Tribolium castaneum: one gene and its partners. The protein of the gene in region 1 purifies or fractionates together with the protein of each later gene. This does not show direct contact. Links are inferred from orthologs where the notes say so. Each region holds a gene or a part of one and is shown in the gene's direction. Other genes may lie near its edges. The genes, in order: ago, rictor, aurA, uncharacterized protein LOC103313224, Dpm1, sorting nexin-8 and Roc1a.

Region 1 (4,144 bases):
TGTTGGTTGCATGCAACGCTGGTTAGAGAGCAAAACTCGTTGTTGTACAAAACTGAAAAATAAATATTTTTCGATAAAAATTTAGCTCAAAAACATCAGTATTAAAAGCTACATCCATTACAAAAAAAAACAATTTCCTATTGTAGCTAACTTTGGACACTTGTATACTTGAAAATAATGTTTACATCTTCACTTTGCTCCCGTGAAATATACATGATTTTTTCGCCTCACTGGACGAAAAAATAATTACCTGAGGCAGGGCACGGATTACGGTCGTCCCAAATACAGCACTTCCGGTCCATTGAAGCTGTGACAAAGACGTTTGGTTCCGACTTAAGTGTATCAACATAGTTTACAAGTTCCGTGTGATAATCGCTGGAAATAAAACTTAGATAAGGGAAAATTGTTGATAAAACTTACGGAAAGTGATTTAGTGGTTTACGGATAGTGCTATTAATGTCCCAAATGGTCACCGCTTTATTCGAGCAGGTGAGTATCCGTGTGCTGTTCTTCCAAACTGCGATTTTCGGAATGCGATCTATTTCCCTATAATAACCTGCCGATTGTATGGTTTGGTTTTCACGTGATATTGTGAGAATATTTAAAAGACCCGTATCTTCAGCTAACGCAAACTATTTTCATATTATTTGTTGTGTGTACACATTTAGCTGAAACTTACAGTACTGTCGTTTAAAAATTTCCCGTCTGAAACCGTGGACCCAATCAAGCTTCTGTTGTGTTTCAGAAGCAACAAATTCTCCTCATTTGAGAAAAATAGCAAAGTGCCTTCCCAAAGAGTCCCGTTTAAGTTCGAACACCCCAGAACTGACTCGTCTAAAAGACAATTAATCGCCAAAATTGAAAAAAACCCACCTTACCTTTTTCATTAAATTCTAGGAAAAGTAAGTGTTTGTAAACGACCGGTGTTGTCGAAAGTTCGACTTTCCGTTGCAGCGATTTATTCGGTGGATAAACCACCGTATTTAATTCGTTTTCAATCATTTTAACACAAATTCAAAAAAGAGTTCGAGGTTAAGTTTTGGTGCAAAAAAGCCACTAAAATCACATGTGCGCCGTTAAATTCCCCCAGCTTGTCACCTTGCTACTCCTGTAACTAAAGTCACGAAATCGTAGCGTAAATTCTCGAAATACAATGCAATGGTGTTGGGGAAAAACACAAAACGGATTTTCCTGCAATTGGTGAGTGTTTTCCAAAAGTTTGGGGTCCTGGATGTTTTTTTGGGCGAATGGTTTGTGGAGTCAGGGTGTTTGTGAAACGGGGCGGCGCCTTAGCCACGCGATTTTGCTGATATTTCTTATTCTTCATTTACACAAGTTCGTCCAGATATTTGTAATGGTGCCAATAAATCCTAGTATTTTGAGAATGGCCGTCAGTGTAGTTTTTTGAAAAGGTATTTTACCCAGCGAGATGCACAAGAAAACTCGCTTTAGTGTCTCGGAGTGATAGGAAGTAGCAAACAGTGGTCCTTGATGCATAGTTTTTGGAAGCATTTCGTTAATTTTCCTTCTTCTCTTGCAATTATCTGGTAGTTAGAGTAGTTTCGTTTCATGCCTTCGAATAATGATAGAAAATTACATCAGTAGGTATGTCAGATGCAATTATTCTAACCATTTTTCCCCCATTGCACTCATCTTGTAATTAAGTAGGATAACGTGTTTCACTCGCGGAGATAATTTTATCGCAAAACTTTACTTAAGACGTTTTTTGTTTTTTCTAGACTGTAGATAATGGCAGAATCATGTCCTTCAGGCAGAAGTAATTTCAACCCCTTATCTAGTATTAATCGAGATTCAGAACTTCCAAAACAAGACTGCACCAGCCCTAGCCCTACTGAAACCGTTTGTCTAGAGTCGTTGTGTACCACTGATAATGCACCAGGTACATCCCAGAATCACTTAGCTCCATTGAGTGAAAAACTAGATGAGATATTTAGAATTAGTCAATCGGGCGAGGAGACTGAAAAAACTAGCTTTCTCAATAAGCTAGGTCTGGAAGAATGTGATGAAGAAGACAGTTTTGAGAAGGAAGAAAACTGGGAGGATTGTACTGAAGGAGACCTCTCTGAAGAAAATCAAGAGCTAGAAGAGGTAACTCCATACAGTGTGTTAACTTTTTACTAAATTATTTTTACAGGACGAAGATAGCAGTGAAGTTTTTTCAGGTTCACCTCCAGGTCCTCATCAAACAACACCAAGGAGTTCGTACGCGAAGAGAAGTGGGTCGTACGCCACTGACAGATACTGGGTAAGCAGAAATTATGTTTGTTGTTTCAAGCGAATGTGCAATAATATTATTTTAAAAATAAACCCATTGACTGTTTCCATCACTGGATAATGCATTTTCTGCAAATGGTTAGCACAAGGCAAACAAAAAATTACAGGCAGAGATAATTTATATTAATTTTGCTTTTTTCTTATTCACTGATAACTAAAATATATGTCACATTTGTCTAACACGTGTAGTTTTCTTAATATATTCACTAAAAGTTTTAAAAATTTGTTTCTGGTGGCATTCATTGTTTCTGTGATCAACTATTGTTAAACCTTGTAATTATTTTAAAATATCTTCAAGTGAATGTAGATTAAGTCCAAACAACTTTTGTTTTGTTTGTGGTAAAATTGTCTATAAAATCTGGGAGACTTAAACGATCAAATGGTAAATATTTTCATCAAATCTTATGAAGAGAGTTATTAAGGTTTTTGGGATAAAAATATGTTATTCGTTTTCTACTAGTCCACATTGAGATAAACACCCTGATAGTACAAGAGAAGAAGCAATCTGTAACATTTTAGATGTTGCGAAAATTGTCAAATACTGATACTTTATAATGAGTATTTAAACTTAATTTGTTTTCGACTTCAGCATCAGATTTAGTGGTAATTATTCTACTGACATTGGTAAAAATCGTGGTAAACTAGTGTAATTATCTGCAATTTTTTGTAAACAAATCAGTGACACATTTTATTACGCCACTGCTCAGGTGGTACTTAATCTTTGCAATACCTGTTGTATTAAATAATTTCTCAATACTAGTTTTTGTTTAATTTTTTTTAACAAAATGTGACTAATAATAAATAATATTACTCTCATAAGTAAAGTTGTGACCATTTTTGGTTGTTGTTTTGACAATTTAAAAAGAAAATAATTAAAAAATACGAGTTGGTCTTGACTATTTGGTCGAAAATGTAATTTAAAGGAATTTGGTTTTAATGAACGCTTACCTTATCTATGTATAATACGAGTTTAAAAACAATCGTCACAGTTTTAATTATGTATTTAATCTTTATATAACTTTTAGATAAAATAACAAAACGAATAATTAAGGGGCATTGGGGAAAAATCGATAAGTAATACGCGAATAAGTCACGTTTACGTAGTAGTGCATTAAAGTTATTGCTCGTTTTTTAAACATTCCCATGGTCAATGAAGGTCTTTAACCTGTTTGGGACTTTGCTGTTTTTAACTATTTAGTTTACTTGTTGTTTTTGTATTGGTAAACACGAGTTGGGCGATAACGTAAATTAAAGATAGACATAAAAGGTAATAATTTTGATCCTTTTTGAAATTATCGTTGTATAATACAAACTAACAATTTTCATAGTTATTTATTATGCCTGTAGATTTTTTTTTAAATTGTTGAAAAAATGTTTGTTACCTTTGACAACCTCTAATTCTGTGTTTAGTAAACAATGTTACTCAAATATCTATGATAATAAAGCAATTTCCACATAATCACATGCATTAGAATACAGTGTAGTAATAATTAACTGCATGTCATAAAAAACTTATCAGGTTAATTTTGCTTTTTAACGCTAGTTTTTCCGGTTTAAGATGTTACATTATTTTCACCTTAATGGTGTTTATGTATTAATCGCAAATGTAAAGAGCTTAACAAAAATAAAACAGTCGTACTTCTTTTTTTTTAATGATGAAACTTGTAAGTGTTGAGTCGATAACATAATACGTTGATCGACATATGATTTTAGCCTAATCTTCTCTCTGATATTTTTTGAAACGAATATTTTGTGCTGTTTTGTTAGCAGTTGTAATGTGTTTTGTTCGGTTTTTTTAGAGAAAACGGAAGTTGGACGTGCAGAATGGGTTTCCGTGCAAGAAGTTGCT
Region 2 (3,001 bases), on another chromosome or scaffold:
TTTGATTATCGTCTTGTCATATTTCGTGTCGAATTTGGTGAAACAATTCAGGACGTAGTTGGATTTAAATTAATTTAAAATAAAACACATTTCTGAATTCTGTTTTCAAACTGAGTAAAATTTACCCAAGTTGTTGGTACTTATCTGTCATAGTTTTTAACATTATATCAGTTTTATTTATAATATCACTGCTCTTGAACCATTTGCGATAAGTGAATAATTTTTTTACATTCTGTAACCGAAGGTTTGAAAAGCTTTCTGAAATTTTCAAATTTGTTGACTGTCAAAATTCAAGGCTAGTATGATTTCTTGAAAATTATTATCGTAAACGGCTCTAACTCAGTTTTTTTTATGGAATCACCTTATTTTCTCAAAGGTAATCGAAAGAACATCGACATTTATGGTGACTTATTAACACGTCTTATACCTATCTCTTACGGTTTTTGAAAAATCACAAAAAAGGATTTTATTTTGTAATTTTCATCGTGAATCAAGTAGACTTTGCAAAATGGTCAACAATTGTCAAATTTCAACATTTTATTTCGTTTTTAGCTGTATGATTATCGAATAAGTAGTAAAACAATAATATGTAATTATGGTTTATTATAAGTTAGTGAATTATGTAAAGTATGTAACTTAGTCAGTCTGCCTTCGAATTTTTAACTTCTTAAATAAAAATGGTGGACATATCGAACATTTCTTTTAATTAATTGCACACCTTATCGAATTTTTCGAAAGTTTATTTAGTTAAAAATGAAAATATTGAGCTAAAATTCCGTTTTTTGCGTTTTGATTATCATTTAAAAAAATCATAGTAGCCTTGCAATTTGACTGTTGACAGTCTTGAAGATTTTAGAATACCCTTTGAACTTTTGGTTATCAAATGCATAAAGAATTATTCACTTCTTGTAAAGGGTTTAAGAGCTATAATTTTTTAAATAAACTCCTGTAAATAAAAAAAAATTCCAAAAAAATTACATGTCAAAAACTATGACAGGTAAGTACCTTTTAGTTACTTTCAAAAGACGAATTTAAAAATTCAATAAAAATAGTTTTAAAAACTTTCTAATTAGAACCTAAAAGAATCAGCCTGTATCATTTAAACGTTCAATAAAGCTTAGAGTGAATAGAGTGAATATAAGAAATTAGAGACACGGGTCGTGTTTGGCATAATAACAATTAAGCACTCGACAGATGTTATTGTCATCTGTGTTATTAGTTAATTGATATAATTATTAAGTAATTATTTTTTTATTCAATATAAATATAATACTATTACTGTGTATTATGGGAATCTTCTTTTAATTGTTCATCGAGTGGAAAACTCAAGGTTTGCGGACAGCGCATTTTAATTTACACTAAAAAACCCACAACTGGGGAACTTTAGGTTTTTTTAATTTTCCCGACGATTTTACATAAGTAAATACAATTTCAAACGAGTGTCGCTTGATAACTTAATTGTAAGTACTTTTATTGTGTATCTTACATAAAAAAGATTGTAACTTATCGAAACTACCCAGAATTTTCCAGTTTTCTTAGCACCAATCGTTTCCTCGGAATTTTTCACATAAAATCTTCCCGATTTTGGCCCGCAATTTCGCCAAAATTAACAAATAATGGAAATTTAAATTTTTTGAAGTAGCCCGTATCGCTACGTTTATATTTACTGGCTTTAGCCTTGAAAAATAGCCTTTAATCGCGGATTGTTTTTTTTTTCAGACCCTTTGGACTGTAAATACGACCCAAACAGCCCTGACAGTGAGTTTGTAGCGAATTTCCCCCGATTGTGTGTAATAATTTGCTTGTAGACGTTCTCAAGGGCCAGGTTCTGCACCTGATTGACCTATTTTCGAACCCCGTTTGGGCCAAACAGGTGAAACAGTCGCTCTTGCAGTACAAGCAAGGCAGTCCTCACGTCTTCCAAGACGCTTGTATTTACTCAGAAGTGTGCAAAATGATTTCGGAATGTGCGTATCGTTCGTCACCTCGTCGGATGCTCCACGAACTCTTCCTCGAAGTGAAATTCGACGATCTCTACCTACAATGCGCCAGGTTTTTGAAAAGTGCCGCTCAGAATAATGTCGATTCTGGTAAGTCATCGGGGGATTCGATCGATAGTGAGGGGGCGCAGTCGAATATAAAAAAATTAGATTCGCTAAAACTCGCATATAAAGAGAATAAATTTCCGATTCGCAATCGAAACGAATCGAAAATCGTGTAACTTTTGGTTCCTCTATTTTTCGAATTGATACAGGGTGTTCTGTTTCTAGGTTTAAGTTTTTTTGCGTTACGTGTAGTCTGTCGCTTTGTTTTTTTTTGTTGTATATAAGGAACGGTTCATTCCACTCGGGAGAACAACCTGTGTGTATATAACTAATTTATTTGACTTTTTGTGATCAAAACAGTGAAATTACGTGTGAGAAAAATTCGTTTATTCGCATGTGACACAATTATCGTTACTTTTTTTACATACAAAAAATATAAATAAAAAATATACACAACTGACAAGCTATAATTACGAAGAACCCACTCTTCCTACAATTCCAAGCAATCACACGTCAAAAACCTTGGTAGCAAGTTTTCGAAAAAAGTCGGATTTTCCAAAGGAGCATTAATTCGTGCGTAAAACTCGATACCGTACATGGTAACCAGGGTGGCCACCCCCAAGCAGAGCGAATACCAGAACAGAATGTTAAAAAGCGGCGTTTTCGGGGCCCCTAGAAAGTTAAAAATCGACCCGAAAACCAAAAACTCGACAAACAACAAGGGGAAAAAGAAGCCAAACATGAACGTCAGGATCCACTCGTGCACAATCGCCGAAATCAAGAACACGGCGAATTTGGCAAACCATAAATTCCCCTTGTAAACAGTTTCGGAAGATTCGCGATAAACGTAAAGGTACAGCCAGTCCTGGACGATTATGTTCCACTTCCGGAAATACCCGGAATAGTCCGTGCACGTCCACCAATCCAGATAGAACAACCGGTCGCCGAACCGCGTC
Region 3 (4,110 bases), about 34 Mb from region 1:
TGGTACAGGGACTTGGAAATAGGCACCAAGTGGGGTCGCTGATGTGGCAATGCCATCTAGGTATATTGTATCAGAATGGCACAAACTACGTAAATTTGTATTACAAGAAAACAAAATAACTTGTTTTTAGATGTTCACACCTTTAATAAATTTTTTTGGTAAAGTTGTCTTTTTCGCCTATTTTTTCTGTGATGTCCGAAAAGGGGTGATCAGGTAATAATCCGTTTTGACCTGATAAGATGCGGTGCCGAATTTCTAGGACTCGAACACGTAAAGAGAGGGTGCCCGGTATTTGGGGATTCAATAGTGCCCAATTTATGCACGCCTGTTATCATAACTCGCCTGTTTTGGTAATAATATTGTCCGATTTTGGGAAATAGAAAATAAAGATGCAATAAATGATAATTTACTGGACACCCTTCACAGAATTCTTGTGAAAAACATTTTAACAAAACACATGGGCGGTTTATGGTTTATGGTTTACGGTCCTTTTAAGCAAACGCCGCCTGATGCGCAAAATAGCTTTAAACCGTTTGTTGTCGGTGGAGAAAAGGAGAGCTAGGGATCATAAACTAAATGAGGGGTACGTACATTTCGTTCATGAAAAATTATTTAAAATTGGAACTCGTAGTAAACGATTCTACCGAAAATTCTTTTCACTTATCACACAGTTGTGTAATTATAATTAATGAAAACAGTGATAGTACCAAGTTGATTGTAGTCTGACTGTTCATGTAAAGCTCTAATAAATTGAGTATAAATGATAATCTGTTAGCAGGCCCGGTAATTCAGCCTGATTTATTTCCGATTTTAATTCAATTTCGGATATATTTTTTAACATTGTTCCGACAACTAAAAGGCCATAATTTTATTTTTGAAAAATGTCTTTTTTATTGTTGAATTGGTGGTCAAAAGGGCATTGTGTGACAAAACCGATTTCGGGGTGAAATGGGGCGATAGTGCATTTGCGGAGCTATAAATATTGAAATTAGGTGAAAAAGTGGGAAAAATTAAGAAGCAATTTGTGGTAAATAATTGAGTTTTTCGCTATTAGCAAAGTGACTTTCTTAAAATGTCATTTTTAAGAGGGTGTTTAGTGTTTTTTCGGATTTTTATTTTATTAAACGGTTTCAAAGCTGACAACCAAACATACATCTACGCAAATTGAAACGTATTTTGCTAGTGTGAAACTGGCTTCATGTTCGGGTTTCTTCGGAATTTCGAGGAGCTGGTTTGGGGAGCTGTCTTCACACAAATTTGTTTTGGGTTTTTCGTGTTGGAGTGTTGGCAGTTGAAAAACCGTTGACTTACGAAGTGACAATTCAAATTCGAACTTATCACAAGTTGAAATTGTGCAAAAGTGTTAAGTCGGAGTGAAGTGTTTTTGTTGTAAATATGTCCCAAAGGAAGGCCCCCGTGTGCCAAAACAAGGAGAACAACGTTCCGCGCGCCGCGGCGAAAAAGGGCCCCCCGGCGCAAAAGGGGGCTCTCTCCGAGAACAAGGCCCAGAAGGGGGCTGCAAGTGACACGGCTCAGGAGAGTTCGAAGGGGCGGCGTTGGACCTTGGCGGACTTCGATATCGGGAAGCCCCTCGGGCGTGGTAAATTCGGAAACGTGTACTTAGCTCGCGAAAAACAGTCGAAATTTGTCGTTGCGCTTAAAGTGCTGTTCAAAAGTGCGATCAAAGACTTCAATAACGAGCACCAAGTGCGGAGGGAAATCGAGATTCAGTCGCACTTGAGACACAACAATATTCTGCGAATGTATGGCTATTTTCACGACGAGTCGAGGGTCTACATAATACTGGAATACGCCCCCAATGGTAAGCCCCCACGTACAGTGGTCCAAACTGCTCAAAACCCGCCAGAAATTGGTGAAATCATTAAATTTCATGTGTTTTATTAACAAAAAAACACATTTAAATTGGGGCTCAATAAACAATGAATGAAAAACAAGAGTTATTCGGAAAAATCTTCTAAAAGAAGAGCCTTCTGAAAGTTGCAAACTAAGCATTTTTGAATGATTTCAGTAAATGGTTGAGAAAGATTTATAAAATTTGTGGGTTAGTTATTACATTAAGTTAAATGGGGAACAAAGTTACTACTAAAAGCTGTCTTAACTAAAATAAAACCATTAACTACTATTTTAAAAAAACGTCTTGAGGTCAATACATTGGATACGGAAAAGTGGCTGACTATTATAAACTAAATAAAAACAATTTAAAACAATAAAATTTGTTTTTTCCATTCCCAAAAAAAAATATTTTCAATGTTGAAAAATCTGGAATGACGAGAGTAAGCTTTGAATTATCAGTGTTAAGAAGACTTTAAACTAAAATTTTTAATTTATGGTGCACTGAATTTGAAGGCAAAAAAATGTTGGTTTTTGTTACCAAATTAAATGAAAATGTATTTTCACTGTTTATTTGTTATGTCAGTAAAACTATTTCGCATTGTTTTGTAATATTATATTATATGAAAGTAGATTTAATTTTTATACTTTTTTTTACGAAATTTATTTTGATAAAACTTTGTAAATCGGTAAAAAAAGTCATGTCATATATACGAGAAATTATTATATTGAAAGTTATTACTAAAGTTCGGATTCCTAGCATTTTGCTAATTAAGCTTTTCTTTTTCAAATGAACCAATTTTCTTAACTTTTATTTGTCAGTTTGGCTAAAAAACTATGCTTTTATGCCAAAAAGCGTTTTTTCTGCTATTTTTATGCTAAGGTTGATAATTCTCAAGTTTTTTCAGTGTTAATATTATATAATAGTTTTAATTTTTCAAACTAATGAACATTTTGAGACGTCTTGGCGAAAAGTTTGACGAATGAAATTCAACAAAGTTGAAAACAGAATTTTTAAAAAATCGTCCTCGAATTTTTTTTGTACTAACAATTTTTTTAATAAAGGTTTGTTTTTGTAAAATATTTGATAAATAAATTTTATTTTGAATAGCACTGAAGTTTTCTTTAAAAAATGAATTAAAAAACTAGTTTTCTCCATTCATTCGAATCAATATTTTCATTGATAAAAAATCTATGGAATGACAACAGAAACACCTAAGCTCGACGTTTTTGTGATTTTATAAAAAAAACAAAAAAAATGGTTTAGACTACAAAGTTGAATGAAAAATTTATATTTATGAGTTTTTTGACATATTATTTATTTGTTGTATTTAAATGTGTAATATTGTGTATAAAAGCAGATTCATTTTTCACTTTTTTATTACTAAATCTATTTTTGTTAGCTATATATTGTTATTATTCTTACTATTATTTTGGGTTTGAAAAAAATCAAGGTGGCTGCGCTATTTAGAATTTAAATAGTCTGTTTTTTGGCATTTATCAAAATCTAACGAAAAAAGGGACCTTTTAACACAAATATTTTTTTTCAATTAAAATTAAAATTTCGAGTTTTTAGTTAAAAAAAAGTGAAAAAGAACATTTTTTTGACCTAATTTTTTCTGGTCGAAGACGTGCTTCATGTTTTCCTAAAAACGAAGAATTTTAAATTTGTTGATAAAAAACTAATTAAAATTAAATAATGTTCATTTTTTTAATTGTCCGCCAGTTAAAGCGAATTCACAACAAAAAAATAAAAAATTAATCGTTAAAAAAAATAAAAAAATTACGTGATTTTAAACATACAGAATTTTAGACAAAAAGGTAAATTTTTACCATAGAAACGTGATTAAAAAATTACCATCTTTTTTGTTTTTTGTAAGTTTGAGCGCATAGAACATGCTTAAACATTCAAAAGAACTCAAGAATAATGTAGTTTTCAACATAAATACCTGTGGGTGATTTTCTAGCCAGTTTGAACAAAATATCGCTAAAAAAATTACGTTGTCTTCCAATTTTTTTGAAGAAAAACATCGCGGTATTTTTGTTCCAATACAGTTTTTTTAGGAATTTTTTGCATCGTTGTTTTAGAAATCAATTAATTAAATTAAAAGAACATTTCGGGGGTGTTTTCCCCACTTTGGACCACTGTGCCCCCACTTTCCACCTTGATAACCCCCCTGTTTAGGCACATGCTACAAGGCGCTGCAAGCAGCCCCCAACAGGCGCTTCCCGGAGGAGACATGCGCCCGCTACATCCGC
Region 4 (4,290 bases), on another chromosome or scaffold:
CTTCGCTAGATTGGTACAAAGTCAAATAATAATAAAACAATTATTCAGTATTAAGCAGCGTTTGAAAAAATAAAAAATAATAAAGTTCAATCAAAAAAATTTTTGGATCTTTGTCCAGAACCAACAGTTAGAACCAATTATTTTCCAAGACTGTCAAAAAAAAAAATTAAAAAAACCCTTATTTTGTGTGCTTATTTCTTATTTGTAAAAACCAACATTTTTCGCGATTTTAAAGGTGTAGTCTCGCTGTTTATGTAAAACGCCTTAGGGAGTTCAAGTTCGGAATATTTCTGTTCGTTTGTAAATTGTTGATAAATATTTTAAAATTCGAATAATTTTATTTTTGCAATCACTTTACGTTTTTTAGCACAGTTAAATTTGAGCTTAGGTCATACTTGGGACACTTTGTGTATGTAGGTAAATGATTTTACCGTTCTGTTTGAGAATGAAAAAATGAGCGTTAAGTTTAAATTATTGCTTACAATTGCCAATTTCATTTGGGTATTTTTTTAATTAAAAAAAATGCAAAAATTTCGTTTGATTTGTAAATTGAGTTGAAATTAAATTGGTTAAAACTGAAAGTATGCAACCAAAACTTCTCACAAGGCAAAAAACAAGTTATATAACTTATTCTAATTTTTAAAATTATATATATTGTTGGTTGCAAACCAAGAAATTAAAAATCGAGTTTGGTTTTTGCAATTACAAATATTATACAAATTAGCATTCATGACTTAACTTTAAGCTGTTTGTTTTCTTTTGATTTCTTCGAAGATTTTTTTTGAAAAAAAAATAGATTCAAATTTTAATTTTGTGCGCTACTTTTGGCTCAATCTGTATTATTTCATTTGTTAAATAATTATAAGACATTTATTCTTTTAATTTTTGGTTATTTTTTTCTTTAAAAAACTTAGGAATTTTTTTGCACTTGTTTTGAACCTTTCTAAAACCGTTCTTAAAATTGTGGGCATTGTTTTTCGTAAGAAAAAAAAGACTGCACAATGACCTTTCTGGTCTCTCGGTCTCTGTTCATTACAAAAGTTTGCTTTTCTAATATAATTTTAATAGAAACATCCTAAATAACGAAAAGGTTAACCTTAATCATGCTCAAAGATATTCATATTTATACTTTTGTTAGTAATTGCAAACAAACAGTTAGTTTGAATCATCAAAGTTCAATAATAGGGGAAAGTGAGCTTTGCAAGTTTTCAATGTCTATTCTATTAGCAATTCTGATACAGGGTGCCAATCGACGAGAGTTTTTTTTAACGCAACACTTTATATTTTTTGTTTTTTTTTGGTAAATTTCTAATAAATTTACATTTTTTTAAATTATTAGGTATTTAAGCTTTAAAGTATTTTTTTTTGATGATTTGAAGAGTTGGAGTCAATTTTCACGCCACTGTCGTAGCTGTGGAGCAGTCTCCTCACATCACACGAGCCGATGAATGAGATGAGCTCCGTGAGTTCGATAACATGAAAGTGGTGGCAATATTTCGCTGAAGATGTGTCTTCACGTAGGAGGATAGTTTTGCAACTTGATTACCTTCATATAGATAATATAAAAACCCTCCTTTTACAAAATACAATTATTAATGTCTAGTGTTTAGTGCAGTATCCTTCCATGTAGCAAGACATGATCGCAGCATGGTATGGTTAAAATTTAATTAGCCCAATTTTTAATTTTCGAAAAAATTTAACTTGCGAATCCAATGTGTGCTTAATTAATTAAATGTCTTTTTCTAATTTATCTAATCGCATGTACGTAATTGTTGTTACAACAAAACTTTCTCTCTTACTTCAAATTTACTGAAATCACATCGGTGTCAAATTATCTTGTAATCATTTAGTTATTTGCTACTGTATGATTGATTAATGTTTTGTCCCCAAAGACTGACAATTTTTATTGCCTATTAATGTCATCGCGAATGGAAATTTAGGAAAAAATTGTTTGACACTGGAAAACTGTTTTTTGTCTTGAGAACAAAATTGTAGGATTTATATTTAAATTGTGCGACTATTTTAATCATCCTGAAAAGAATAAGTTATTTGCACTTCCCCTGCTGTAAACGTGCTTGCTTAGCTTGAAAACGTTATGTAACTGTAGCCATATATTGCTGAAATTGTCAGTTATATTAATTATTTAAAAATAACCTATTGATATTAACTGCTTTAACATTTAAGCTCCAAAGGTTATCTCCAGTGCAATTATTACAAATATTGAATGGGTATAACACAAAGCGACACTAGTAACTCATTGTCTGATCAATCAAAATTTTAATTAGACGTATTGTAGAAATTATTGAATTAATATAATATAATGTATGCTGCAAGTTTGTAAATTAGCATAAATATGCTGTTTTTATAATGAAGTGCTGAATGTAAATCGGCAAAGTACCCGATCGTCAGTAAATAATTGAATGAAAGTTCTTTTTTTAAAAACAAGAATGCATAAGAAAGGAGTATAATTTACAACTTCGATTAAAATAGACATAACGTATACTTAAGTGTCTTGTTAGTTTGGAATTTTTTAATTGTACTTTGAAGATTCTTCAGGGTTTACACTTTGACATTTATCGACGGGATTTTTTAAAAACCGGAATCAACCTCAACGAAAAAATTAAGAATTATATGGTCTTTACATTAAATTCGCGAGATTCTTTTCTTTTAATAGATGCTATTAAGTTGGCGTAACACATAATTTGCCTTAAATTTTGGAGTTATCGAAATAAAATAGATGGAGTAGTAGACATTTGAAAATGCAAATTTTTTTAACAAGTGTACCATCTGTACATTTAAGTTGAATTCCATTCGAAAGCGTTTTCGTTGATATGAGGGGAATCCTTGACATGTCAAGGAAATAAATTATTGCTTTATAAAAATATCTCCTGGATTATTAAAATATTTGGATGGTACATTCTGACCTTTTGTTTTTGTCTAATATATTATGCATATTAGCTCTTTTGTAAAACCCAATTTAGTTTCATTGACAGCTAACATGTTGGAAAATACAATCATTTAATTTTAACAAAAGTAAATACTTTCACGTTGATATCCTTCAATCGAACGATGTGTACATCGTTTTTTGTTTGGTGTACAAATTATTTTAAATTTTGCACAAACGGTAACCTTATTCAAATACGGTGTCAAACAAATTCTAAGGTAGTGAAAACCATGACATTTCCGCTAACAATTTAACAAGATTAGCTTAAACTTTAGCATATTTTTTCAGATTTAAATAAAATTACATCAATTCAATAATGCATAAAACAACCATCCGGAGAGTTCAGCATACGTAATGTCACTGTCATGGTCAAGGCATAAGTTAGTAATAAAAATGTTAGGTATTCGTTTTCTCAATTTATTATTTATTTTATTTGGTATTTTACCATGTTACCAATTAAAAAAGCTATGAGATCCAAAATCACTAAAGAAATAAGTTGTTTACTGTTTAAAACCTTGAGAAAGCTCTTTTTAAAAATGGTGGCATCGAAGAGTTTTAAAGTGCAATTTTATAACTCTACAATTATAAAACAATAAATTATAAAAGAAATCTTAATAACGCTGCGCTGTTATTCCACAGATGCGTTAGTTGTACAATACTTGATCAATGATTAGGTATTTGATGAAGCAATCAAAATATTTATTTGCCTTGAACCACATCTTTACCACATCACACAGTATTTTTTCACGTGTTCTACTAATTACCAATTTTGTTTACCGATAATAATTAAAAACTAATCTACAGGTGTTTTGGATAATGCAATGCACATTGTGGAACTTTTAATACTTCTAATTAGAAAATTATATTAATTTCACTAAAAATTAATTAATTAATTCGGTTAAAACAGCCATTTATGTGAATAATTTATAGCTGTTTGTGTTAAGTTCTATAGATGAAATATTAATCAAGATAGTAGTCGAAGAAGCGGCATTTTGTTGCAGGTGCTAATTAACATTTTTGCGACCAAGGTGTTGTTTAACTCATTCTGTACGACTCATATATCAATCAGTAATATATTGTCGAACAATTATGATGTAATGCTTTAGTAGTTTAGTATATCTTGAGTCTTCATCTTACATAAGAAAGAACGTCGAATGTGTAAAGTAGTTGACATTTACTTACGCGTCTGTGACCTTTTAACATTAGTATTCATTATTTATTTTATAGTTTATTTCAAGATTCCGCTACCTGTCTGTTAGCTATCGTAAAAATGACGTAAGGAATCATTTTTGGTTAAAGGAGTTTCATTGACTAGTCCCGTACATATTAATTTAATAATCATTTAC
Region 5 (2,785 bases), on another chromosome or scaffold:
TAGATTTATTCACAAATCTCACTTCAAACATTTATTGCAATTGATAAATGTAACTACTTTTTAGGCTTAGTTTTGTATCAAAGTATTTTATAAGAGATTAATTTTTTATACAAGTTTTATCAAAGGTATTCTAAATAAATACTTTCAATTTACAAGTTCTTTACTTTGTTATTTAACTTAAAATTATGCTTAGTCATTTCAGAAGAAACCGGAAAATTATCACACATGTTTTTTAAAAAATCTTTATTATAAACAGATTCATGATTTACATAAATCAATAAATAAAATAAATAAATGCTTCAGGATTTAGTCTTGAGTATTTGAAAAAATTAACTTTGATCCTTGACCTTTCTACCCATAGATAAAGGCGTAAACGTACTTTTACTAGGTGGAGGATTCAATTTACTCGTGATATGAACAAAAGGCTCATATAACGTAATTCTGTGCATTGCAGATGCCGTAAAATGCCTCAATTTCTCTCTATTGCACCAGGCCGTGGCTTTACTCAACGTAGAGTCAAATTCCGTATTTTCAGTCTCTTTAAATTTATTTCCTATCACAATTATAGTAACCTATAATATCAATAAATAAATAAGAGTCATTTTTTTAGTTGGACACACCTCTTTTTTATCTTTATTCTTATCAATGTCCTTCTTGAGTGACACTAACATATCAAGTGATTCTGATTTCTCGGTATCATAAACTAAAATATAACCGTCAGCAATCGCCAAATAGTGTCTGGGGAGCTGCTGGTTGGTGGTTCCACTAGCTGTGGCCGTTTGGAGCGGTTCAAGGCCCGCAGTGTCATAAAAACGAACTTTTTCTCTTGTGCCTTTATCCGACTCAATATTAGCGACGTAAATGTCTTCAATAGTAGAATGTAACTCCTAGAAACCCCTCATTTAGTAAATCTTCAGCATTAGGACTGTGATACATACACTCTTCGAGGTTATATTACCGTAAATGACTTGCTCCAAAACTGCGGTTTTACCGACCCCTTTCATGCCGCATATCACTACTTTTGATGTTTTACCCATTTTGGGGCTGCCTGGAGTATTGTTTATTTCAAAACGTCAAATTTGACACCTGTCGTTGTCACAGGTGACATTGACAAACAAATACCAACGTATCAAAAAATTATTAATCATAAAATTCGCAAAAACCAAATGTTTGGATTTATTATCGATTATTTTGATACTTGATCAGTTCATTGTGCGCAATTAGTGATTGTAAATTGCTTAGCTAACTCGATTACGTGTCAATAAATGCGCAACTATTTTTTCGGTTTGTTGGCTATCCTGCTTTTCGCTGTTCTAATTCCTAACCTCAAACGTGACGAGAACAAATTTGAAAATTCCGGCAAAATGGGCAAAGAAAGTAAAAGTAGTGAAGACAAGTACTCGATTTTACTACCAACATACAACGAAGTGGAAAACTTGCCGATTATCGTATGGCTGATTGTAAAATACATGGAAAAGAGGTGGGGCTTTTATTGCTTCTCTTCCCATTTTTAAAGCCACGTTTTAGTGGATATAATTACGAAGTAATCATAATCGACGATGGAAGCCCCGACGGGACGCAAGATGCCGCCAAACAGCTCCAAAAAATTTACGGCGAAAATAAAATCTTGCTAAAACCAAGAGAGAAAAAGCTGGGACTGGGGACTGCTTACATCCACGGAATGAAACACGCCAGTGGCAATTTTATTCTTATTATGGATGCGGATTTGAGCCATCATGTAACATGCATATTTTTCGTAAATATTACCTAATAGAAAAATTTTAGCCTAAGTTTATCCCACAATTTATTGAAAAACAAAAATCAAAGGATTATGATGTAGTCTCGGGGACGCGTTATGTGGGCTCTGGTGGTGTTTATGGTTGGGATTTTAGAAGAAAATTGATTTCAAGAGGAGCCAATTTTCTAACACAACTTTTACTAAGACCTGGGGCCTCAGACTTGACTGGTTCTTTCAGATTGTACAAAAAAGATGTTTTAGAGAAGTTAATCAAAAGTTGTGTTTCAAAAGGTTACGTTTTCCAGATGGAAATGATTGTGAGGGCGCGCCAATTTAATTATACCGTCGGGGAAGTCCCTATTACTTTCGTTGATAGGGTTTATGGGGAGTCTAAGCTTGGGGGCTCAGAGATATTTCAATTTGCTAAAGCTTTGCTCTATTTGTTTGCCACCACATAATTTTATATTCTGCATTCCAATAATTATTTGAAATAATAAATGAAACATTTATGTATGTTATTTTTTAATAAAAGTGCTTCTATGAAATATTTAAATTGTTTTTTATTAATATTGAATTGAAAAACATGTGACCGTGACACAATTGCCACTAGCGCCACCCTATCAATCCGTGTCGACTTCCCCAACTAGCGATCATATGACATTTGCCTCAATTCAGGTGTACTCGTACTCCGATTTCGTGGTGAATTTTGAGTGAGAATGGCAAGTCAAACCCAAGGAATCCAGCAACTCTTAGCTGCGGAGAAGAGAGCGGCTGAAAAAGTGTCAGAAGCCCGCAAACGTGAGTGTTTTTTGCGAAAAAAGCCCAAACATGAATCGCAGTGGGCGTTCATGTTTGACAGTCACGAGTTCTCAATTGTTTTACAGGTAAGGCCCGAAGGCTCAAACAGGCCAAAGAGGAGGCCCAAGATGAGATTGAAAAATACCGCAAGGAACGCGAACGCCAATTCCGCGATTTTGAGGCGAAACACATGGGCTCTAAAGAAGGGGTTGCTGCCAAAATTGAGGCGGACACCAAACAACGAATTGA
Region 6 (4,231 bases), on another chromosome or scaffold:
GGTTATTCACAGATGTGAAAAGGTCCATTATTGACCTTTAAATGTTAGAAAATTAATCTTTTTTTACGAAAGCCGTGCATACTAACCCCCTGTCTCACTTAAAATTGTTTTCAAGTATACAGGGTGTTTCTAAAAGTAGCTACAACACAAACTTATGTTTTTTTAATGGTACAACCGTACAACCTATATTTTGTGCATTGTTTGATGTAGATATTTTTAAGCTAAATTGTTATTGGTCGATTTTGCTTTGTTTTTTTAAATAACTTGATTTTTTTGACAAAAACACACTTTTTTAAAAAAATCATTATATAAAAACTAGGAATCTCAGAAAAGTTGAACTTTCACCACTTTAAGAAGAAAGTTCAAATTTCAAGGAAGTATTATTTTTATTAGCTTACGCAATTAAGAAGATTCTTTAAAAGACATTTAAACTGTCTCTCTGAAAACATTAACAGTTAAGTGTCTTTTACTAATTACTCAAAATATATTTAACAATAAACATTAAAAAAATCATTAACTATTGTTTCAGTAGTCAAAAAGTGAAATCTTCTGCTACTAATAACTTTAGTGTTACCCTTAGACTATTATTCGTCATTTATTACAGTGAAATAACTAAAATTTAATAAATGGTGGAGTTGCTATGGTGATGACATGGTTTACTATGGTAACAACAATGCTCAGGAATAGTGTTCATTGTTGTTAAAATTAACTTTTAAAGTGAAATATCTTTTTAGTTATTAACTTTAACCATTTGAAACTTTATGTTTTTAGATAGACAATAATGGTCTTTGAGAAGCAAGAACAAAAAATAGGGCGTTCCATTTAAGTTTTTCAAGTTATTTGGCTTTTAACAAACTTCTTAATTTTTTTATGTTTCTAATTGTTATACGGCAAACAGCTGGAACAGATTTAAGTATGAACGTTTCCCTTTAAAGTGGTGAAAGTCCTACCTTTCTACGATTCTCCGTTTTTGTGTAATAAATTTTTTAATAAAACGTGTTTTTGTCAAACAAATCAAAATATTTAAAAAACTGAGCAGAATCGACTAATACAAGTTAACATTAAAATCATCAGCATTAAAAGCTACGTCCAAAAATGCAATAAAATTTGGGGTATTCCGTTTAAAAAAAACAACTTTAATGCATTTTTAGTTTTGGAACATACTATACTATACAAAATACAGGCAATATTTTAGGAATATGTAGCAGATATGCAGCTATAAAAAAAAGGAAAAGACAATATTTTAAATAATAAGCAAATTATGGAGTTTTTTCGGATCGTTGGGACAGCCTGCATATTTCGTTTCACATCCTAATAGTTTTAGATATCCGTAGTACCACCTTAACTTTAATGAAAAACTAGGGTTGTAATGATTTTGGCTAACTTTTTTCGAAATAGATCACATAAATTAAGGTGGATACAAAGACAGGACGGAAGTGTACTCCCCCTCAACTTCGCCATTCACAATCGACCACGAAGACAAGACTGGCCCGGCGAATTGCTCGAAAATGGGATGTTTTATTTCGCCGAAAGAAAACTAATCAATCGGGGACTTTTACAAAGTCACAGGTACAGTACCACCAACTTAACCAATGAATCTCTACCAGTTCGTTTTATTTTCATGAAAACACCGTCCGGTAGTTAAGATTAATAATTTATCACCGCTGTTTATTTACTCACGAACCGGATAAGTCCGGATATTTGCATAAGTTGGTACCAGGGGGTACCGAGCACTTTGAAACCATTAATTAGTGTTAAAACAGCCACGATTCCATCAACAATACAGAAAAATGAAACGAAACAAATAAACAATGCCTCTTGACCTTTTTGCGGCAAAGTGAAAGTGCGAATATTTCTAATCCCAGCGTGTGTTCAATTAAACTCCTTTCAGTAGTGTTGTGTAAGTCGCGCAGAATTTCACTGCGAATATTTCCATTTCCTTGTTTATTTATTAAACCTAACCTAACCTCTCAAAAAACTGTCAAAAAAGTAATGCCAACGAGGCATTGAGGTTATGTTTATTAAGTGTCATTCCCGTGGGGCCAATTAATAAATTATTTCTATCCGGTGTCGTGTCCACCCACAAATGACGCACGCAAGTGATTGTAGATGCAAAATTGTGGAAATCCCCCAAAAATATAGTCTCGAAATCGACACTCGCTCCGATTTGGACGTCGCAAAAGCCCTCGTCCAGCTAACATGACGACAGATTTGAGTGCCGGGACTGTGCCCCCTTTGTATCGCGAAGTGTTCGATGTGTGTTCCCACAATGGGGAGCCAGTCCACAGGGACGTGTACCAGTGCCTTTTATCCCAATGTAACCTAAACACCACTCAGTTGAAAGTTATCTGGGACCTTGCGGGGCCTTCGCAAGGCCTTATCACGCGAACCAACCTTTACAAAACGCTAGCGCTAGTGGCTTGGGCACAACAGGGCAAAACACTATCCGAAAAACTCTTCGAAACTGCTTCGGGAAAAGGTATGCGAGTTTAAAAATCAATTCGATTTTAGCGCAGTTTTCAACAGAATATCCGACTCCGAGTATTGGTGACCTAACCCCTGTTAAAAATCTAGTTTTGAAGCTCAATTTAAAAGCCAATCCTGCCGTTTTGGGGCTCACTTATACTGAAATCACTCAGTTGGATACGATTAGTGTTGAATTGGTACCTGAGAAGAAGGGGCTGTTTCTGAAATATTCGGAATATTTGGTGGCTTCGAGACGATTTAATTCCAAAGTCACGAGGAGGTATAATGATTTTTTGGCCTTGCAAGAACTGCTCCTTAGTCGGTTTCCATACAGGTAAGAATAAAATTTTGATAACATTGTTAATAGAACATAAAAATTTCGAAATATTTGATTGATTTTGACAATTAATAACGTGGGGAATTTTAATTAATAGAGTTCAAAATGCTATTAAATTAAATTATGTAGGTATGACTAAAAAAATCTACATCGCAATAAATTCAGTGATAAAAATAAAATAAATATCAACACTTGAAAAAAGTTACAGAATTAATCATAATAGTTGTTATTAAGCAGTAAAATATTATAGTTTTACCTTGAAAATGAACAATGTAATAATATTTTAAAAATAGCACCAGAAGAACTTGCTGTTCAACTCTCAGTATTACGTTATTATTATTTATTTTTCTAAAAAAAATTTTTTTTAAAATTGTTAAGAATTTTATTAAATGTCATTTAAATGTGGAATTACGAAAATTTCGTTACTGCTTTTGACATAGTCAAATGTCATCACCAGAGGGCGTCTAGTTAATTTTATTTCCGAATACAACTTGCATATTATTAGAAAGTTTATGAGAAATACTATCGATACGTGTAAATAAATACATGGTGACCAATTTGAAAAAAAAATGAGTTATTCAACTTTTTTGTGTTTTAACTCATCATGTAATTATTTGCGTGTTTCAAGTAAAAGTCGACTATTGCTAAAACTATAGGGTATTCTCAGTTTTTCTGTTGCAAATTTTTTGGAAATATTCATAGGCGACTTCGCAGTGATTTTTCAAAAATTGGTCTTTTTATAACGAAAAGTTGAAGAATTCTAAAACGAAAAATGATAGACCTAGAATAGTTTATATAGTCATATTTTTTGCGTAGAATCTAAAAATGCATAAATATGTAGGGTCTTCTTTTTCAAAAAATGTAACTTTGGTTTGTGGACTTTAAATCGATCTATCGGATAATAAAAACAACATAGCAATATTTCAATTCCCAAAAAAAGTTATAAACCGATTCCGCACCTCTGGGTCACCCTGTATTTATCAATTACATAGTACTTGTTTTATGTAATGAGCTTTTAATAATGTTCTAATGTCTTAATAAGACGATGATAAAAAAACTATCATTATTTAGTTGTTTCAAACGGACTGTCTTTATTTATTTAATGGCAATCAAAACAATACATTTCTTACAGTTTTTCAAATAATTATGAAAAACTCATTTAAATTGTTCAATCACGTGGTATAAGTAATCAATATATTAAATAGCAAAGGTTCAAAAATGGAACTCTGTGGGACGGGACTTCCCAGGGCTACATTAAAAAAAATGACTGAACTTTACGATTAATTTTTTTTTTAGTATTTTTTTAGTAGCTTTAAATTTATAAAACATTAAATATTGTAGAGACAGAAGATACACTCTTTTTTATATTTTAATGTGCATCAAGTAGGTAGGTTGTGTAAGTCTAAATGCACTTTTTATTTAATAGCG
Region 7 (4,296 bases), on another chromosome or scaffold:
CCAACCTATAATTGGAGCCACATTGTAAAATTGGAAATGCGAACAGAAAAAAAAATACAAATTGATATCTATCATAGATTTTTAAATTTTTGCAGAACCGTTTCTTAAAAATTTCAATTATTAATTATTCAATTATCAATAACCTTAATTATCAAAGACTTTAACAATATCAAAATTAAGACACTGTTAACATCGCATTTAACCGAATATTTTTTTTAAATAAGATTGATAAAAATAGTTATTAATGACAAGATCTTCCAATAAAACTAGAAAATATATAAGCTATTAATTCTTTGAAAAGCATAAATAATTTATAACAATTACTTCTAGAGAAAATCCGACGTTGGCATTTTTATAATTTCGAAACAGCTAATAATTACGCTAACATTTGATACTGTTCAAAATTTTTAAGACATGACTGTGAAGCACCCCAATGCCCATAGCTGACTTATTAACTATTAACTCAATTAATTAATAAAATATTTGATTTCGGCTGTATTTTTTGGAAACGAAATTTAGTACATTTTGAAACCAAAACATACATGTTCCATTGAAGCCCAGACTAGTGGCTCCCCTAACGCCCGTTTTTTGACACTGGCTGACTTATTAACTAATCATTTAAAATTAATATAAATTAAATAAATATTTGATTTCTTACCTTGCAACATTTGAAGTTCAGCTGAAAACTCATCAAGCTCCATCGCAATGTCTTTATTAGCCCCTCTCAGATCCTTTCGAATCGTAAAATCAAACGAAGTCGTCGGCTCCCCTAACAAATTCTCCAAATCCTGAACAATGTCATCAACATTTTCTGTAATTTTCTCCGTAGAAGTATCCGTAATATTCATATCGAGCAGGTCCTTATCGGACGCAATCGGCGATGGGTTACCACCCCCTGACATCTCCCTCACTAAATTAATAACTGGGTTCGCACTACTCGGGTGTTTCCCCGAATCCAAAGCATCCGAGGATGTGCTACTGATTGGATCGTCAGCAGCTGAACACAATTGAAGTAAGCGCAAGGAAAACTGGAAAAAACACTTACCAATGTGTGACGTTGAAGTGGTTGTAAATGCATCGGTGGAAGACGTTGGGGTTGAATCACAAGACTCACTTTTTTCGTCGGTATTCGATGACAGCAGGTTGCCCATTGTTGAGGTTAACTCGCTTTCGGTGGATTTTTCACTTTCCATTGTCACTTGCACGGGAAAATGGTGCTATTTGGTTGAAAACACACCGTTTATCACAGACAATTAATTACGGGTATAATTAAATGCGGCATTTTTGTTTACGGTTTTAAACGACAAACGCCATCACAAGTGGAAGCTTCGCCAGGAGTGCCAACGGCAACCGTCAGACGAAAATGGCCATTAATAAAATAATTATCAATTAATACAACACTTGTTTACAATTTTAATGCGTTAGCCATCCATTAGTTAAGTTAATAACATTGATTTTCGCAAAATTGGTCATTCTGTGGTGGTTGAAGGGCACCCAACACACGCGTAAAATTCCCCAGTCGAAATTTCACCCCAAACAGTTTGGCAATTAACGTTTGTAAAAACTCACAATTTTGTGTTATTTGGGCAAAAATGGCAGCGGCAATGGACGTGGATGTTGACGAGGTCGAAGTTCCCACTTCGAGCAGTTCCAAGGGTGAAAAGAAGCGTTTCGAAGTGAAAAAGGTAAGTTTGTGAGACATAACCTAACACTTGATGATTTTTCATTTTTATGAAGTGGAACGCCGTAGCGTTGTGGGCTTGGGGTACGCTGTGTCATTTTATTAGACACGTTGGTTTTAATTAAAATTTTAGATATCGTGGTCGATAATTGTGCCATTTGTCGCAATCATATTATGGATTTATGTATTGAGTGTCAGGCAAATCAGGCCTCAGCGACCAGTGAAGAGTGTACAGTTGCTTGGGGAGTGTGTAATGTGAGTAATTTGCTGTTTTTTGAGTTTTGGTTTTAGTGAATCTGGTTTTAGCACGCGTTTCATTTTCACTGTATTTCGAGGTGGTTGAAGACAAGGCAGGTGTGCCCACTAGATAATCGAGAATGGGAATTTCAAAAGTAAGTTTTTTTATTTTAAATGTTTTTCTAACGGGTTAATAGTCCCTTTGTTTTTACAACTTTTACAATACAGAGGGTTTAAATTTTTTATTGTTATACCATCTAGTGGTCAATTAACGATCTACTTTGTTGTGTGACATGGCGGGAAATTTGAATGTCACATTTCACAGTTTTTGTTATAGTAATTTCATAATAATACTTAAACACAGGCTGTCCCAACGATCCCAAAAAGCTCCATAATTTGTTTATTATTAAAGATATTGAGTTTTCCTTTTTTTTAGATACGGGTATGCATATAGAGGATGTTCCAATATAAAAAAACACTAAAGCTATGTTTTTTCAAATGAAACACCCTAAATTTTATTGCATTTTTGCTTAGTTTTTAAAATATTTTGATTTTTTTGACAAAAACACAAAAAATTATTACACAAAAAGGCAGAATCGTAGAATCCCACACGGGGAAAAGTTCAAACTTATAAATCTGTTCCAATTGTTTAGCGTATTACAATTAGAAACAGAAAAATTAAAGTTTATTAAAACTTGAAAAACTTAAATGGAACACTCTATTTTTTGTTATTGCTTCTCAAAAATTACTAAATTACTAAAAACATAAAGTTTCAACTTCCTAAAGTTACTAACTAAAAAGATATTTCACTTTAAACGTTAATTTCAACAACATATCACAACCATAGCAACTCCACCACAGACCACTTGTTGGAGATTATACGGGACTAAAAATTCTATAAGTATTGAAATTTTAATTATTTCACTGTTATAAATGACAAATAATGGCCTAAAAGTAACATTAAAGTTATTATTAGCAGAAAATTTCACTTTTTGACTACTGAAACAATAGGTAATAATTTTTTTATTGTTTAATGTTAAAAATCTTTTGAGTAATCACTAATTAGCGAAAGACCCAACTGTTAATCTTGTCAGAGAGACTATTTAAAGGTCTTTTAGATGCAAAAATAAAAATTGGGTGTTCCATTTAAAATTTTTAAGTTATTCAACTTGCAACAAACCTCTTCATTTTTTATCTTCTTGATTGCAGTAAGCTAATAAAAATAATACATCCTTGGAGTTTGAACTTTCTTTCTTTAAAGTGGTGAAAGTTCCTCTTTTCTGAGATTCTAAGTTTTTATGTAACGATTTTTTTAAAAAAGCGTGTTTTGGCAAAAAAATCCAGTTATTGTAAAAACAAAGCAAAATCGACCTATAACAATTTGAAAAGCTTGAAAACATCTGTGTTAAAAGCTACATCCAAAAATGCAAAAAATATAGGTTGTTCCATTTAAAAAAACAAGTTTGTATTGTATCTAATTTTAGAAACAGCCTGTATACTTGAAAATAATTTTAAGTGGTAGGTACTTTAACTTAAAAAACAGTATAATCGTCAACGTTAGTATTTGTCCTAAGAACGTATTTAAACAACTTAAATAACTTAAATAAAAATCAAAGTAATTTTACTAAAAACTGAATTAATATGTATTTGTTTTCTAACAATTGTTCAATTGTTGTAATATTAATTAATTATTTCGTTTGAATAAATAAACTGTTTCAAAACTATAAAAACGCCAACGTCGCCTGTTACTGAATTATTTTTTTAAACAAAATACATAGAATTTTTAAAATAGTTACTAATGATTAGATCTCTCATTGAAAGTATAAATTACATTAGGTACTATTTTTTAAAGTGCATGAATAATTTATAACAACTAATTTTGAGAAAAAATGCGATTTTGGCGTTTTTATACTTTCAAAATAGCTAATACATATACTGCATTTGCCAAATAACAACGAATAATGAGAAACGCTTTTGTAAAAGTTTTTTAGTTACCGGTATATTGACTTGTTCTCTACAGAAATACATCATCCGATAAATTTCAGAAAAACTCAAACAGTAGTTTACGAAAAAAATCGAAGAAAACAATTTTTAAGAAACTGTAGAAAGTGAAAATAAACTGAAACATGTGATGGTGGTGTAAATTACTTTGATTTTTTTTATTTTATTTTTTATTCTAAGAAAGTACTGATGATGTATTTTTTGCAGGTATGGGCATTGATCGTTATGTTATCAGTAGCATAATACGGTTTTCGGTATTTGATTCTCACCATTTTTTTTCGTAAACTCAACATGTTATAACGGAAATTTAGTTTTTGTATAATCCAGGTCTTGAAATTTTTTGTTACATTTTGTATTTCAATAAATTATTATTCAAT

What was found.
Region 2: the proteins of ago (region 1) and rictor purify together in Homo sapiens (affinity purification with western blotting; 3 studies listed by BioGRID, with this or other methods). This does not show direct contact. The link is inferred for Tribolium castaneum from reciprocal best matches to the Homo sapiens genes FBXW7 and RICTOR.
Region 3: the proteins of ago (region 1) and aurA purify together in Homo sapiens (affinity purification with western blotting; 5 studies listed by BioGRID). This does not show direct contact. The link is inferred for Tribolium castaneum from reciprocal best matches to the Homo sapiens genes FBXW7 and AURKA.
Region 4: the proteins of ago (region 1) and uncharacterized protein LOC103313224 purify together in Homo sapiens (affinity purification with mass spectrometry; 3 studies listed by BioGRID and IntAct, counting the BioPlex papers as one, with this or other methods). This does not show direct contact. The link is inferred for Tribolium castaneum from reciprocal best matches to the Homo sapiens genes FBXW7 and PRR36.
Region 5: the proteins of ago (region 1) and Dpm1 purify together in Homo sapiens (affinity purification with mass spectrometry, with the first as the bait; 3 studies listed by BioGRID). This does not show direct contact. The link is inferred for Tribolium castaneum from reciprocal best matches to the Homo sapiens genes FBXW7 and DPM1.
Region 6: the proteins of ago (region 1) and sorting nexin-8 purify together in Homo sapiens (affinity purification with mass spectrometry; 3 studies listed by BioGRID and IntAct, counting the BioPlex papers as one, with this or other methods). This does not show direct contact. The link is inferred for Tribolium castaneum from reciprocal best matches to the Homo sapiens genes FBXW7 and SNX8.
Region 7: the proteins of ago (region 1) and Roc1a purify together in Homo sapiens (affinity purification with western blotting; 8 studies listed by BioGRID and IntAct, with this or other methods). This does not show direct contact. The link is inferred for Tribolium castaneum from reciprocal best matches to the Homo sapiens genes FBXW7 and RBX1.

What each region holds. Positions count from the first base shown.
Region 1 is NC_087394.1:36,180,099-36,184,242, reverse strand, and holds the start of ago (archipelago), read left to right. Parts: upstream 1-1,344; 5' UTR 1,345-1,605; intron 1,606-1,739; 5' UTR 1,740-1,749; coding exon 1,750-2,109; intron 2,110-2,155; coding exon 2,156-2,266; intron 2,267-4,094; coding exon 4,095-4,144. Other genes in the region: uncharacterized protein LOC655874, read right to left, coding at 1-52, 251-375, 421-632, 680-834, 879-1,002. UniProt on the Homo sapiens protein: Substrate recognition component of a SCF (SKP1-CUL1-F-box protein) E3 ubiquitin-protein ligase complex which mediates the ubiquitination and subsequent proteasomal degradation of target proteins.
Region 2 is NC_087395.1:23,067,881-23,070,881, forward strand, and holds the end of rictor (rapamycin-insensitive companion of mTOR), read left to right. Parts: intron 1-1,719; coding exon 1,720-1,758; intron 1,759-1,808; coding exon 1,809-2,221; 3' UTR 2,222-2,501; downstream 2,502-3,001. Other genes in the region: sterol O-acyltransferase 1, read right to left, coding at 2,536-3,001. UniProt on the Homo sapiens protein: Component of the mechanistic target of rapamycin complex 2 (mTORC2), which transduces signals from growth factors to pathways involved in proliferation, cytoskeletal organization, lipogenesis and anabolic output.
Region 3 is NC_087394.1:2,112,468-2,116,577, forward strand, and holds the start of aurA (aurora kinase A), read left to right. Parts: upstream 1-1,310; 5' UTR 1,311-1,395; coding exon 1,396-1,822; intron 1,823-4,036; coding exon 4,037-4,110. UniProt on the Homo sapiens protein: Mitotic serine/threonine kinase that contributes to the regulation of cell cycle progression.
Region 4 is NC_087398.1:3,178,456-3,182,745, reverse strand, and holds the start of uncharacterized protein LOC103313224, read left to right. Parts: upstream 1-1,490; 5' UTR 1,491-1,647; coding exon 1,648-1,650; intron 1,651-4,290.
Region 5 is NC_087396.1:17,388,867-17,391,651, forward strand, and holds Dpm1 (dolichol-phosphate mannosyltransferase subunit 1), read left to right. Parts: upstream 1-1,265; coding exon 1,266-1,480; intron 1,481-1,527; coding exon 1,528-1,738; intron 1,739-1,785; coding exon 1,786-2,196; 3' UTR 2,197-2,285; downstream 2,286-2,785. Other genes in the region: phosphoenolpyruvate carboxykinase [GTP], read left to right, coding at 1-3; kappaB-Ras (NF-kappa-B inhibitor-interacting Ras-like protein 2), read right to left, coding at 330-572, 621-887, 939-1,037; V-type proton ATPase subunit G, read left to right, coding at 2,455-2,536, 2,623-2,785. UniProt on the Homo sapiens protein: Transfers mannose from GDP-mannose to dolichol monophosphate to form dolichol phosphate mannose (Dol-P-Man) which is the mannosyl donor in pathways leading to N-glycosylation, glycosyl phosphatidylinositol membrane anchoring, and O-mannosylation of proteins; catalytic subunit of the dolichol-phosphate mannose (DPM) synthase complex.
Region 6 is NC_087399.1:11,361,818-11,366,048, forward strand, and holds the start of sorting nexin-8, read left to right. Parts: upstream 1-1,431; 5' UTR 1,432-1,569; intron 1,570-1,599; exon of another isoform or gene 1,600-2,109; 5' UTR 2,110-2,199; coding exon 2,200-2,479; intron 2,480-2,526; coding exon 2,527-2,800; intron 2,801-4,231. UniProt on the Homo sapiens protein: May be involved in several stages of intracellular trafficking. May play a role in intracellular protein transport from early endosomes to the trans-Golgi network.
Region 7 is NC_087402.1:12,066,286-12,070,581, reverse strand, and holds the start of Roc1a (RING-box protein 1A), read left to right. Parts: upstream 1-1,496; 5' UTR 1,497-1,592; coding exon 1,593-1,685; intron 1,686-1,737; coding exon 1,738-1,765; intron 1,766-1,814; coding exon 1,815-1,936; intron 1,937-1,987; coding exon 1,988-2,073; intron 2,074-4,126; coding exon 4,127-4,139; 3' UTR 4,140-4,296. Other genes in the region: e(y)3 (titin), read right to left, coding at 659-997, 1,046-1,193. UniProt on the Homo sapiens protein: E3 ubiquitin ligase component of multiple cullin-RING-based E3 ubiquitin-protein ligase (CRLs) complexes which mediate the ubiquitination and subsequent proteasomal degradation of target proteins, including proteins involved in cell cycle progression, signal transduction, transcription and transcription-coupled nucleotide excision repair.